4 linked regions of the Arabidopsis thaliana genome follow. The protein of the gene in region 3 interacts with the protein of the main gene of each other region in a pairwise test. Each region holds a gene or a part of one and is shown on either strand. Other genes may lie near its edges.

Region 1 (2,833 bases), on a different chromosome or scaffold from region 3:
TTGGTCATTCTGTTCAAGAAAAAAGATATTTTTAAAAATAAATAATATAAAAGAGTATTATGGCAAAAAGGTAGTCAAAAAATATAGTTTTGCAAATCTCCCATTAATTTAACCAATTTCTTATCCATTTCGTAGGCCAAAGTTTCTCTTTTTCCTTCATAGGCATGGATGGGCCTGATCATTATTAATATCTCATATATTAGATGAGATAATCTCTTTGATCCTCAAAACAAGAAAATATTTTTTCGTTTGTGAAAACAAGAAGGTGAGCAGTTACAAACTCCTCATAAAAATAATGATCTACATGTCTTTAAATAAACAAGAATATACGAGATTTTCCTAAAGTTTTTATGAGGAATTTAAATAAATTATGCAAAGGGAAATATCAAACTAGACACAAAATTGAAGTAAAATAAGATAGAAGTAGAAGTTATTATCCTCTTCACTGAAAATTTACCAAGACACATAATCATGGTCCTTTAAGGTGGCAGAGAACTTGAACATGGAATAATGAGCCACCGTTTTCGAGATAGTATTCTGTCATGGTCCAACCACTGGCTTGTCTCTCACCTTTGACGTAGAAACTTAGACTTCTTCCCAATCACTGCACCGGTATCTTCCAACACGACATCACTCAACTTCCCATGGCCTTTCCAACATCCATCAACCGTCTCTCCTTTGACTTTGCGGCTGATGCGTTTTCCAGTAACGTTTTCAGAGAGATGATTCACTTTCACGAACTAGAACCATTCATTAGGTTCCAAAAAGTTAGTCTCGGTGTGAGACAACCGCCACGGCTCTTTGGCATAGATGTCAAACTTGTCTTCTAATTCAAATTCTTTATTTGATCTTTTGGTAACCTTAGGCCCGATATAACGGATGATGAGTTCTTGGGCAGAAGGATGAAACCAAAACCCAACATGTTCCTCTTTATCGTAGTACTTAACCATCGACATATTCTTTTCTTGTTCTATGAGACAAAGAAAACGCAAATCAGACAAAAAGTTAAGGATCTATATATTATAGCAATAATCCAAGGGGAACAACAAATGATCTTTAGAGCAAAACTGAAAAACAATAATAAACGCGTTGAAGACTTGAAACTTTCAGGTAGACAAATAGAAAAGGTGATTTCGTATATATATGTGGATTTTAAGGATTTTTAATATATTAGGAAAACGATTCTTTAAAAAGGAAATATATCCATGTAATTCAAAGCCAATATTCTTAAAATTAGATAAGTAAGCCAATATCACATTTTTTCTTTTCAAATTTGTAATGTTGGTTTTAGCGTATGATATTTTGTCTACTATTTTCTTTTTAAACTTATTTTGTCTTATATCTTTTTACAAACTAAAAAACAAGATTATTCTTTTACTTATCTAAATAATGTTCAAAGACTGGAAGATTTCTTGCTCTTCTGATATGGAGAGATACTTGTATTAGTACTTGAAGAAGCTTATGCCTCAAATATTTTCTTGCTCTCCAAAAAATGCATTGACATGATCGTGATCGGTTGCACAAAAAATGGTATCCACTCTCTAAACTTTTAGAACAAGTACTCTTTCAAGAAGAAAGAGAAAAAATCTATTTACAACGAATAAGTCGATGTCTAACTCGGAAAAACAAAATGTTGGATCATCATCATTGGAGCCTAAAAGAAAATTGTTGTTAAACTATAATTGTTGCCCTTAAATAAACAGGCAAAAACGATGTTGTTAAAAAGACTTTTAAAAACATTGGCAATGTCATAAAAACGGCAACGTTTTAAGGAAAGTTTCAAACGTCGTCGTCTTGAGGACTAAAGTTGAAGTCTTAAAAAGGCGACACGTTTCGGGACAAAGCTGAGGGGAAATCTTCGCGACGACTGTGAGAGTTTGTTTCGCGAACATTCTCTGAGTTTCTCTCGACGCGACGGCGATTGCGAATGTCTTCTCCTTCTGATTCTCGTCTCTCTGTGTCTCCGGTAATTTCTCTCAATTTTCTCTCTCTGTTGGATTCTTTTAGCTTGTTTTGGATTTGTTACCGATTCTACTCCGTGACTTGGCCTTTCTCAGTGCTATTAGTGAACAGAGATAAACTTTAGGGTTTGAACTTTTTTTTTTGGATGAATGATTTGAATCCTTTTTAACGTTAGAGTTGTTCTTTGTTAATGGAAGCTATCATTGTTACTTTGGTTTACTCTAAAGCTTCTTGTTCGACGATTTTTCCTCTGCAACTAGAAATGGTTGTGTTTATGTCAAAACTTGAAACCATGTTTATGGTTTTCGCTAGTTAGGTCTTGTTTTTGTTTTTCCTTTTGCCTTATCTGCTTGACTCTACTGGATTTCTGAATGTGTTCTTCTGCTGGATTCTACTTGAAACCAGGGATAAGTAATCGAAGATGAATATGATTCAGCGATTCATGCAATCTATGGCAAAGACGCGTGGCCTCTGTCATCCAGATTGCGTAAAAGCAAGTAGTGAGCAAGAAGATTACGGTAAATGAATCAAATCTTGTTCTAGAGAACATTACTTTATTCGCATCGTTAAGAGATACTGTGATTGATTTTAGCTGATAGTAGTTTACTCCCTTTTTAATATAGTCTAATCCTTTGAAAGAGTCATATGAATTGACTACAACATTTTCATTTTTTTTTTGTCTTGCAGATGCGTCTCAGCTCAGTATTTGGTGGATAATGCTGGGAAGGAAGACGACCAGGGAGAAATGGATGAACCAAGCTCTCAGTTCACTATCGAAAACTTGCATCAGTATATGGTGGAAAATGTCTGGAATAAGAGGTAAGATGTGCAGGGAGAGGGAGCAACCACTCACTGTCAAAGACTGCCTTGA
Region 2 (3,246 bases), on a different chromosome or scaffold from region 3:
TTTTGGTTTGTACTCGTCACGACAATACATATTGTATTACTACTATGTTTAGTTAGATTAGTTTTGGTCGGAATGATTGATTTGGCTTCTTCCTCTAACGTTTTGACTTTTGAAGAAGTCTTTACGTCACTATAGACGTAGAACAAGTACTACATTACTCATGCCCTCTCTATTAACTTGTTGATCTACGCAACAAGACTTTTCCAACAGTTTTGACCTAATCCTTATTGGTCAGTCACATCCCTCTGATGTTCACGTCCTCTCAATGGAATGTGACGGACCAATAAGGTTTATGTATTTGGTGCTAGATTATTCGCACCATAACAAATGTTTACATCATATGAGTAACTAATTAAAGCCTTCAAAGTATGGTATATAACTATATATCCGAACGTTTCATTAACTTGTAACTTACATATATACATATTTGTTGTACACAGCATGATAGGTGGTCCCTCTCCAAAGCCAAATAGATGTGTTTAGTGTGTAATACATGAACAAGTAACCAAAGAGATAAACTATGTTTTTGTCATTTTCTAGTCTAATTCATCATCATCATCATGACATTGAATAATTCAATATGCCTCAATTCCTTTGTAGATTATTTCCTTCCATGGAGTAGTATCATCATTACGGTTGGTAAAATATCAACACTATAAAGATAATTTATTTACAAAGGGAGAACTATGTAACGCAAAATGCATAGTAAAAGGCTAATTAAGAGACTCGTATTAAGGAACTACTTTAGCACGACAGATAGGACATGTGGAGCTATGAGAAAGCCAGATGTCTACACAGTCAGCATGAAACACATGTACACAAGGTGGTACCAAACGCAGCGTTTCATCGTCTTTGAATTCATTCAAACACACAACACATTCTAGCTCGCCTATTCCTGGCTCAATTCCTCTAGCTTCCGTGTAAACGAATGAAGGAAACGACTTGATGGCTTCAGCGTCAAGTCCTCGCGGTGGCCTCCTCGGACTCATTCGAGCTTCCTCAATGTCCCCGGCTGCTGCGGCACGGTTTCTGCATCGCCGAATGTAGTAATTAATGATATAAAACGCTATGAACCCGATGCTCGCAAACGCAAACACAATTGTTCCTTCGTTTCTTTTGAAGTATGACATGTTTCGTACTTTAACATCTTCTTGAGTTTTGTAATGGGAAGAGATAGAGAAAGAAGAAGAAGAAAGAGAGACGTGGGGTTCACGTCTTCTTCGTAGTTTCTAGGTGATTTCTACGCGCCACCGTGTTTCTTCGTGTTTCACATAATAAACTAGTGCAATGACTCTAGCACTTTCCCATTTGCTAATATTTTTTAGTTTCGTAATTATAGACTAAACTTAATTTGACGGAATCTAGATGAGATTGGTTAGTTTTGAGATATAGATTATTAGAACCGATCAAAAAAGGTCGAAATATGTAAACATGATATTCATATTATGTGTAGGTGAATACTGAAAACAATATTATCGTTTTTAATTATTTTTCTGATGTATTAATAATTATTTGACAGTGATCTTTTGTCCTTCTGTTTTCAACTTTTGTCTCGACAATGTTCAAGCCTTCAAGGTAATTTATTATCTCATTAGCTCTATTTTATATGAATGATATCTAAAAAATTATTTTGAAAAGAATTCATGTACAAACAATACAACATTGTGTATAAAATGAAAGGAAACAAAATTACGTAGACATAAAATTCGAAACTTTAATACAATCTTAAATGTTAGATAGATAATTATATCATAAAGAAACTTTATATATCATATATATATGCTATAAAAAAAGGTTTAGTTGACCGCCAAAGATACAAATATTTTTTTTTAGTTATTAAAAATATTTTATATAATTCGATGTTTATATACAAAATTTGAAGATCTCGTATACAAATTTTGAATGTACAATCTTTTTAATACAATTTAGATATCCTAGTTTGTATCGTTTTAAATACATAACTAGTTTCTATTCTTAAAGTTACCTTAATAGGAAACTCCCAAAGAAAATAGAAAAATAGGTTAATGTTAAAATTTCTCTAGTTTACAAGAATTATTATTCTCAGTATATTTGAAGGAATTAATAAAGAAGAATTCATAAGTTTTTATTTACCTTTAATATTTCATAGTGCAAATATAAATACGGATAATTTTGCACAAAAAAAATTATATTGAACCACAATATATCACATATGTAAACAACATTTTACGTGAATTGACTTTGTTGAGCTCTAATTAATATCGGTTAACAAAAAAAAAAAGATTGACACAATTAGCACACAAAATTTCTTCCAAAAATAGCACCTCATTTGAAAATATCTACAAATAGCACTCAAAACATTTTCTTCCAAAAATAGCACCTCATTTGAAAATATCTACAAATAGCACTCAAAACATTTTCTTCCTAAAATAGCACCTAATTAAAAAAATTATCAGTCAAAGTTTTCCGTGAAAAAAAAATCTTTCAAATTTTTCCGTGAATTTTTTTTTGTCAAATTTTCCCGCCAAAAAAAATTCCGTAAAAACTTTCCCGCCAAAAACAATTTTTGTCAAAACATTCCGTCAAATTTTTTCCACATAAGAAAATTTAGGAAGGATTCTACGAAAACTGGAAAAAATTTCACGAAATTCAAGAAAGATTTTACAAAATTCAAGAAGGATTTCACAAAAAAAAATCTTTCGTGAAACCCTTCCTTAGTTTTGTAGAAGTCTTCCTAAATTTCCTTGAAAGTTTCCACAAAATTCAGAAAAGATTTTACAAAATTCATGAAAAATTATCATGAAATTAAGGAAGGGTTACAAAAAAAAAAAAGTTTAATTCTGAATTTCTTGAAACCCTTCATGAATTTCTTAAATCCTTCATGAATTTTATAAAATCTTTCGTGAATTTCTTTTTTTTTTTTCGGGAAAATTTGTTTATAAAAGTTTTTGGTGGAAATAATTTTGATGGAAATTTTTGGGGGGAAATATTGTCTGAAATTTATTTATTTTTTGAATTTTCTTATTTATAAATTTTAATAATTAAAAATAAAATATTTATTTGAGTGATATTTTTGTCCAAAAAACTTGAAATGATGCTATTTGTGAAAATTTTATCTTTTTAAGAAAATAAGTAAGTCACTTCTGAACTGACCACATTTACATATCCTTATTCCACAAAAGCTCGATCATAAAAACAAGTATACTCACTGAATCTTAATATATATATATATATATATATATATATACCTTGTTTTGTTGATTCCTT
Region 3 (4,253 bases):
TTCTTATACAACAAAGTTGAGAACGTGCGAGAAAGATCCAACAAATGTTAACATGAAGAACAAGTTGACTGTTGACGTGTTAGCAAATGAGTAATATCATGTAAATGCGTTACAAACATTCATAGATGAAAATTCCACATATATAAACATTTTGAAAACATAACAATTTTTTAGTGGAACAAACCCGTTCTGCCACATGTAAATTATGACTAGAACGTTACTATACATACTACTTGATTCTTCTATCAATCCGACTACAACATGATTTATTTAGAGGTAATATAAATTGTCAATCAATATCAAATCGACTTTCCGATTTTATCTCGACGAATCAAAACTTTAGACGGATTGACAGATTACGAAAACGTTAAAACATATGACGACGATACTCTCAAAGAGACGTGCTTCATTAGAATTGTAATAGAAGGTGTTAATATCATAATACCAATTTAGGTAGGTGAAGACTTGTTAATTGGTTTCATATGTCAAAAAAAAAAAAAAAAAAAACTACTTGGTGATACATTTAACTATTCTTCATTCACCAAACTACAAATCCAATCTTCAAGTTCTTAGATTACATTTGTTAAGTCATCTTCTTAAACATGATCATGGTTTATCGTAATCAAAATGTTATGGCCTTGTCAATTACATAATCATAATAAAATTGCATTATAGATGAAGAAACTGAAGCTACAAATTACATAAGACAAAAGAAAAAAAGATTACATAAAATGAAAACTGTGGCATGGTCGAGCCTGACAAAAAACCGCAAGCTGGACCGACACAGAGAGACTAATACAAACCATAATACAAATATTAACATACGAAATTTAACACTAATCCATATTTAATTAATTACTCTTGGGCCAGTCATGCAATTTCACAAAAACTCCATTGCAAGCGGCTGAATTTCCTATTTTGCCCCTAAGCTAGAATCGAATCCCAATCGATCTCGTACGACGGATACTTCTCCAACGAGAACGTCTCGTTCCACTGCGGCGGCTCCTCCGGGTCAGCGAACGTCAAGTCCGACAACGGCGAAGATCCAGCGGTGGACTCTTCAAACTCCGTCACCGGTGGAGATCCACCGATCGAAACCGAATTCTCCTCCGCCTTCACTTTCTCCGATAGATCTGGCGACGAAACCTTCTTCTCACGTTTCTTCGATGATTTCGTCGATTTGTCCTGTTTCTGAGTCTCCGCCATGCTTTTACAAATAGCTTCAAGCTTAGCGTCGACTGAGGAGTGAAGAGGTTTATATTCACCGAAATCGCCTCCGATGTGAGATCCGTTATGACGTAGGTTAGGGAAGTTAAGCCGGGCGAAATCGCCGCGCAGCTTGTACGCCGCCTTATCATAGGCCAACGCAGCTTCCTCCGCCGTGTCAAAAGTCCCAAGCCAGAGACGAGTCCGATTTCTCGGCAAACGGATCTCAGCCACCCATTTTCCCCAGTGACGTTGCCTCACACCTCTGTAAAGCTTCGTCGGCTTCGAAGGAACACCTGAACCGTAAGCGAAACAAGATCCAGCGACTCCAGATTGCTTCATCAGTAACGGCTTTGGGCTGAGAAGATTCGAGAAAGAGTTGTTGTTGTTGTGATGCGTCGGAGGAAGAGGATGATGGATCTGAGACTGGATCTGGTGGATCTGAGAAGAAGAGAGGTTGTTGAGTCCGATTAATGACCCGGTTTGTTGAAGATCCGACCCGTATGAAAACGGTTGGGTCAAGAACGTTGAATCCGGGTAATAACCGGGGAGAGGAGGGAGAGAAAACGCAGAGGGGTGAAGAAACGCAGACGCAGACGCTGCAGAAGAAGAAGAAGGAGAATCGGAAACGCTTTTGATAAAAGGTACAAGCGCGTCCATGAGTTCACCACCAGAGTCTTGAAACGATCTGCTACAAGTGTACAAATTCATAGCAGCTGCCATTTAAAATAAAAATTTGAATCCGAAAAAATTGAACCTGAGACTTATAAAAAAGTAAAGAAACAGGGATTTTTCCGAGAAAATTAAAAAAAAATGGATCTAAAAGGTTTGAAATAAGCAACCTCTGTGTAGATCCGAAAAGAGGGAATCAAAAATTTCACCCTCGATTCACTAAAATCTAAGAAGAAAAAAAGAGGTAAAATCAGAAGAAATTTGAAAAAACGATCTCGTTCTGAAAAAACCTGCCTTTCAAATTAAAACAAAAAATTAAACACAAATTCATAAGCTTGATTTTTTTCTGTATGACAAAAACAAACCCAGAAATCGAATTTTTCTTTTTTCTTTCTTTTTGAAAGACAGATGATTAACAGAAGAAGAAGCGAGAAACAACAGATTAGGGGGAGATTGCAAAAAAAAAAATGTAAAAATTCAGGATCAAATCTGAAAAAAAACAATTGCTCGTTATCTACCAATTTTGTTTTTGGGGGAGGCACTCAATTTATTTTTTGTGTGTGTGTAGTGAATTACTCTCAACCTCACCGATGAACTAACCTCACCTGCTTGGCTCTTGTTTATATAGTGGGTGTAGTCTCCTCACACTATTTTCATATTTTCCGGGTTTTTTCCAACGATATTTTCCGTTTCTTAGGCAATTTTATATTTCAAAATACCTAAGCGAGTAGATTTGTTTGATGACACACAAGATGGTAAAAACTTTTTGACAGTAAATAAAACTGTAGTAGTGTTAGAAAAAATAATATTAGACTGTGTTAGTAAAAAAAATATGTAATGATAAATGATTACCATAAATACTAATACTTCCTCAGAATTACTTTAAGTGATGTTTTAGCGATCTTTCACTTTACTTTTTTCTGACCAATCATATTTTATAATATGTTTTTATTAGTTGAATACTTGTATTTATTTTATTTTCTGGCGTTTTATATAAAATAGTAAATTAAATAAAAATATCGTGTTTTTCTTTAAATTTGTGTTTAAAATTTTAAACACCTCTTAAAATGATGCATATGGAATATTTAATGATACAACCTAACTTTTCTTTTTTTAATCCACCTAAAACTTGTCGTTAAAGTTATCGTCTTTACCCTCTAATGTCAAACCCCTTTTTTGTTAAAATAATCTTTACTTCTTTTCAATTAGGATTTGATTATGAATTATTTTATACTATATATAGAAATATTTATATTTTGGAAACTAATTGAAATTTCAAAAAAAAGTAAGATATTTAATCTACATTAACATTTTGTTAATTTAATTTAGAAACATGACTACATTAACATAATTTTATAAAAGGAATAAATGTTCAAACGAAATATATTATGTACTCTTAATTTTTTATGTAGCGCAATGTAGAAAACAATTGTAAGATAACAAGTCTATTTTTACATTCTCTCTTTTCATGAAATTTTTCAAAAATAAGAAAAGTATCCACCAAATTTTCTTAAAATTGTTTATATATTTTTATAATCATCCATTTTGTTTAGATCAGCATATTTCTATTCCAGAATTGTTTCATTTCGTCTATTTATTATTTATGAATTATGATGAGGCTGATAAATTCATATAATCGGCGCGAGGTACACTGTATTTTTCCTACCTGCGAGCGGATGAGAAAAATGACATGCAGCTAATGAGTGAATGACGCGTGTATTATACAAATAGGAATACATAATTCAAAAACACGTGTCTTCATATTATTTGTGCTTTGTGGAGTAAATAGTCATACCTGATTTTGTTGACCGATCCGGTTCGTGTTCACACTTCACAGTTCACAGACCATTTTGCTTATTTGTTTGTTTGTTATTGCTTAGCTAGGTTCTGTGTTTTAATCATCTCTCTTTTATTGGTCTCATACTCTTATTGGTTAATGGTTATAATCATGACTACATAAACTTGCTGACTTTTAGGCTCTAGTTTCATTTATTTTTCCTATATTTTCTGTTCAAAAACTTAAAAGCATCCAAAATTGTAATAAATTCTTCTTTTTTGTTCAAGAATTGTTACCATTAGTAGAAACTATGAGTGATCCCATTCCCATCATTCTTTTTTTTGAAAGTTTAACCAAAACTCTTTAAGAATAACACATTCTTTTGACAAATCATTTTTCTACGAAATAAGTTAAGTAATTTCTCCCAATCGTTAAAACCTATCTTCACACCATATCCTTCACTTGTTTTGTACTATTTTACCATAGCCTTCAACATTGTACTTCTTATTATTCACATGATATGACTTTTACTATCTTACATTTTTCATACACCGGTTGATCATATCTGAATTTTTTTCAACGTATTTCATCGGATTTC
Region 4 (4,486 bases), on a different chromosome or scaffold from region 3:
GACACCAAAACTAAAGCACTTCATGTGGCGGATAGTAACTCAATCATTGGCGACAGGCGAGGCCTTGACACGACGACATATCATTTCAGATTCACAGTGTAAACGATGTTGTGCAGCTCCTGAAACATTAGAACGCCTATTCTTTGGATGCCATTATGTTCAAGCTATTTGGAGGGGCTCTCCGGTGTCACATACAGCGTTTTTCAATCCACACTTACCTTTTGAAGATAAATTCAGATTAATCCTTCAATGCTGTACTGATACGAGACAAGACCATATCACAAGACAAATACCTTTATGGATGTTGTGGCACATATGGAAGAGCAGGAATTTGTTAGTTTACCAGCGAAAAGGGAGTAATTGGCAAGATGATGTACAAAAAGCGATAACAGACTCATATGAGTGGATTCCTCTGCAGCGAGACACACAACGACGAAGTCTAAATGACAGAAGCGGGCAAGGGTAGCAAAAACCTATTCACGGCTTTATCAAATGCAATTATGACTGCAGTTTCTCAAGGAATGATCTAGCACCAAAGGCTGGTTGGATTTTACGAATTGACACAGGCAGTTATCTACTTGCGGCTCAAGGTACAAGACAACTATGCAACTCAGTGCTAGAAGCGGAACTACAGGCTCTCTTGATGGCAATGCAACATACATGGAGTAGAGGATATCGAAAGATTATATTTGAAGGTGATAATAGGACTGTGGAAAGCTTACTCAATGGGAACACAAGGAATTTTGAACTTCATAACCTCGTCATGGAGATACAACATTGGCGGAAGAAGTTTTCTACTGCCATTATCAAATGGTCTTTCCGGTCAACTAACAAAGCAGCTGATCGATTAGCTAAAGTGGAGTTAGAAAACATTGTTACTTTTGTCTCTCATTCTTATGTACCTCTGTTTCTTGTACAAATCCTCCATAGGATTACACATCATCCCTCTAATAAAGTATATCTGTTAATGTTAAAAAAAAATAAAAAAAAAAGAATCGGTTATTTTCGGGTTTTAAACTTAAAAACCAAAGAAACCAATATCCGAATCGAACCGAACCGTAATAAATTTCGGTTAGTTTCGGAAGAATTTTCAAAAATCCAAAATAACCGAAACCCGAAATAACCGACTCGGTTCGGTTCGGTTTACCCGAAGTCGCAGGCCTAATATTTTATATCAACAATTGACATATATTTTGACCCAAAAAAAAAAAATCAACAATTGACATATATTTGTTTTTATTAAAGTTTAATTTACATATTATGGAAGTCTCAAAATATTTGTTAAACAATGGCAAATATTTGTTAGACATATTTCATCTATTTAGCATGCACAACACGAATCCATATCTAATATTAGAAAGAATTATCCTTTGATTCTTTTTTTCTGAAGGAAATTTTGATTAATGGTAAGATTTGTTTATAAGCCCAAAAGCACAAATATTCTCCTACTTATAGCATGATATATTTTGAAGTGAATGTAAATTAAGAATTATTTTCGTAACAACAAATTTTATATTTATACAAAATAAATTAAATTCAGTTTCTTTCTCTCTTCTCTTTCTCGGTTTCCCCATTTTCTATCTAGACAAAGAGTGTTGTCTGAATTGGCTCTGTCTCAAAAAATGAAATTCTCAAATTAACCACAACGATCTTTAGAGCCTTCTTCGCTCACCGATCTCTGAAACCCTGGTTTGCTCTCGTCCTCTTCGTGTAACGATTCTTCTTCTTGATAAATTTTTAATCTTTGTTTCGGCTTTTCGATGAAATTGTTTTTTTTTTGGATCTCGTCTCTATCAGCTCATGTTCTTCTTTGATTATATGATAATTGTTGTTTCCTTTGCTCTGTTTTATGATTATTGTTGATTTTTGAGATTGAAATGTTCGAGGGTTTCTACTGTTCACTGTTCTTTACACGTATCAATGTTTTCTTGATCATGTTCTCTTATGATGTTAATAGAGAGACTAGTGTTATTGTGATGAATGATTCTTGTTAACTAAATTTGTCATTTTTGTTTTCACTTGACATTCATTTCTCTAACCATTTATTATAGGTAGTTTCTATGAGTATGTCGCAGTCTCGAGCTGTCCAAAGATCGTCTTCACCTAATGAGGATAGAGGTGAGAATCAGTTAGTGGTTTATGACTTGAAAGGAAATGATGATACTGAAGAAGAAGTTCTACCGGTTCAATCTCAGCCTTTGTCATCTAGAACACAGTGTCCCTCTATCGGGGCATTTACGGTTCAGTGTGCAAGTTGTTTCAAATGGAGACTCATGCCTTCAATGCAGAAGTATGAAGAGATTAGGGAACAGCTTCTTGAAAACCCGTTTTTCTGCGATACAGCGCGTGAGTGGAAGCCGGATATTTCTTGTGATGTTCCTGCTGATATCTATCAAGATGGAACTCGTCTTTGGGCTATTGATAAACCGAATATCTCTCGTCCACCCGCTGGCTGGCAACGTTTACTGCGGATTAGAGGTGAAGGAGGTACCAGATTTGCTGATGTGTATGTCGTTCGTTAACTCTTCTCTCATTTATGTTAATATTAGTCTTTCTTCTTTATACCATTGTATTGGCTTTCTTTATCATTCTTTTATCTTGGTTGTTTCAGTTATTATGTTGCTCCGTCTGGAAAGAAGCTTCGATCAACTGTGGAGGTCCAAAAGTTAGTTTCTCTACCACTCCATTTCCACATTTTCGTTTTCACATTTAACAAAGTGTTCCTTACTTTTATGTTTGATGAGGTCTCACTGTATCAGTCTTACCATTTTCGTCAACCAATATATTGAATCAGTAGGAACCTCAAGTATTGTTCTGTGGTCATAACTAGAGTTAGGCACTTATGCAAATTACAGAAATCCTTGCATGTGTTTTGTTTACTAACGAAAATGTACTATGCCAAGAAGTTAGTTAAACTATCATCCTTATTTCCATGATACTTCCCTGCAGCATTTGAGAGTGACAACAATGGTAGGAGAAAAAAGCTTAGTGACTTACCAATTCGTTTAGTGATTACCAAATTGTTTTCAGTGACGTATAGCTAGCTTCTTTACACCCTTATAACCACTATTACTGGTTTGCAGGTACTTGAATGACAACTCCGAATACATTGGAGAAGGGGTGAAACTTTCACAGTTCTCGTTTCAAATCCCGAAACCGCTGCAGGATGACTACGTGAGGAAGCGCCCAGCTCGACTACTGGATTCCATCGATAATACAAACACCCCTGTAGCTAAAGAAGGTGTGTTGCTTATCAAGGCACATAAATATAATTGTGGTTATCTTTTGTATCAAGGCTTTAGATTATTGATGTCATTTTTTCAGTCAAGAGTGTATTTGACGTATACTCGAACCGAACATTGGTGTCTTTAGGGAACTTTATTAACATGAAAACGTCTATGCTTTTACAAGTTTCTAACATTTCGCTTGTCTTGTTATTTTTCAGCTAATCCACTGGCATGGATATCTCCAGATGATCATATATCGTTGCAGCTAGGTACGCCAACCGAGTCTGGACTTAACAATTCACATTACCAACCATCGAAAAAGAAAAAAACATCGACGCTATCAATCTTTGGCTCCAACGACGAACTTGCTGATAGATAATCTAGCTAGACGAGAGTGAACTTATCTCGTCTTCTCTGGTATATAACCCGTCTTCTTTCTTCGTTTTTTGGGTTTGTCTTATCGAAGAAACTGAAAGCATGTGGTTAGCTTGTTTTTTGTGTATACCATCTATTTTGTTTTGCAGTGTAACATACTTTCTATGAAGAAGATGGGTCCTTTTGGTTTTTGCTTCCAAATAACTGGATTTTCATGCTGAAAGTTTTTAAACCTAAAGTTTGATTATTACCAAATTCCATTATCTCACAAATCCACTAGAGGACTGACACAAGAAAGCAGATAAGAATAGATCAGAGTCTGTTTAACTGTAGATGTGCATGTTAAGTTGGAACGTAGTTTATCTCAAAGGATATTTTAACGACATCCAAAAGATAACATTCGAAAGTCAAAACCATCCTAGGGGAGATATGGCTGAAGCTATTAGTTTGGTAAACATACAACAACAAAACTATGCCATATCTCTAATCTGCGCAAAAGGCAGAAACAAAAACTAACAACAAATCTGCCTTCTACTATCCTGCTTCGTGCATTCCCTATTCAGTTTTCCCGTGGTTAAGCCGTATCATCGGAACCAAGTGATGGGAGTGGGAGTAGTACTGACTTGAGGAAGCTGCGGAATCATACAGTTTTGCGCTTGCTGCCACGGATGCAAGCCAAAACCATAGGTGTGCTCTTGCTCTTGCTGCTGTCCTTGCTGAGGGAAAGATAGACTGGTGCTTCCAGTATCCTCTTCTATCTCATTGGATGCATCATCCATTACCACATCCTCACCTGTCTCATCCAACTCAGTAATCTCTAGTGTCCGCGGTTGTTGGAAGGTTCCTATGGACTGTGAGTAAGTAGACTGAGACGGATTCCAGCA

What was found.
Region 1: the proteins of RAP2.4 (region 3) and AT5G18037 interact in a two-hybrid assay, tested with the Arabidopsis thaliana proteins (one large-scale study listed by BioGRID).
Region 2: the proteins of RAP2.4 (region 3) and AT4G09100 interact in a two-hybrid assay, tested with the Arabidopsis thaliana proteins (one large-scale study listed by BioGRID).
Region 4: the proteins of RAP2.4 (region 3) and MBD02 interact in a two-hybrid assay, tested with the Arabidopsis thaliana proteins (one large-scale study listed by BioGRID).

The regions. Positions count from the first base shown.
Region 1 is NC_003076.8:5,970,573-5,973,405, forward strand, and holds AT5G18037 (NAC (No Apical Meristem) domain transcriptional regulator superfamily protein), read right to left. Parts: upstream 995-2,833; 5' UTR 957-994; coding exon 741-956; 3' UTR 529-740; downstream 1-528. Other genes in the region: AT5G18040 (target of trans acting-siR480/255 protein), read left to right, coding at 2,384-2,480, 2,650-2,833.
Region 2 is NC_003075.7:5,809,140-5,812,385, reverse strand, and holds AT4G09100 (RING/U-box superfamily protein), read right to left. Parts: upstream 1,272-3,246; 5' UTR 1,131-1,271; coding exon 732-1,130; 3' UTR 540-731; downstream 1-539.
Region 3 is NC_003070.9:29,362,466-29,366,718, reverse strand, and holds RAP2.4 (uncharacterized protein), read right to left. Parts: upstream 2,648-4,253; 5' UTR 1,930-2,647; coding exon 925-1,929; 3' UTR 512-924; downstream 1-511.
Region 4 is NC_003076.8:13,522,845-13,527,330, reverse strand, and holds MBD02 (methyl-CPG-binding domain protein 02), read left to right. Parts: upstream 1-1,532; 5' UTR 1,533-1,710; exon of another isoform or gene 1,711-2,055; 5' UTR 2,056-2,060; coding exon 2,061-2,506; intron 2,507-2,611; coding exon 2,612-2,665; intron 2,666-3,083; coding exon 3,084-3,241; intron 3,242-3,445; coding exon 3,446-3,606; 3' UTR 3,607-3,928; downstream 3,929-4,486. Other genes in the region: AT5G35320 (DBH-like monooxygenase), read right to left, coding at 4,187-4,486. UniProt on the Arabidopsis thaliana protein: Probable transcriptional regulator.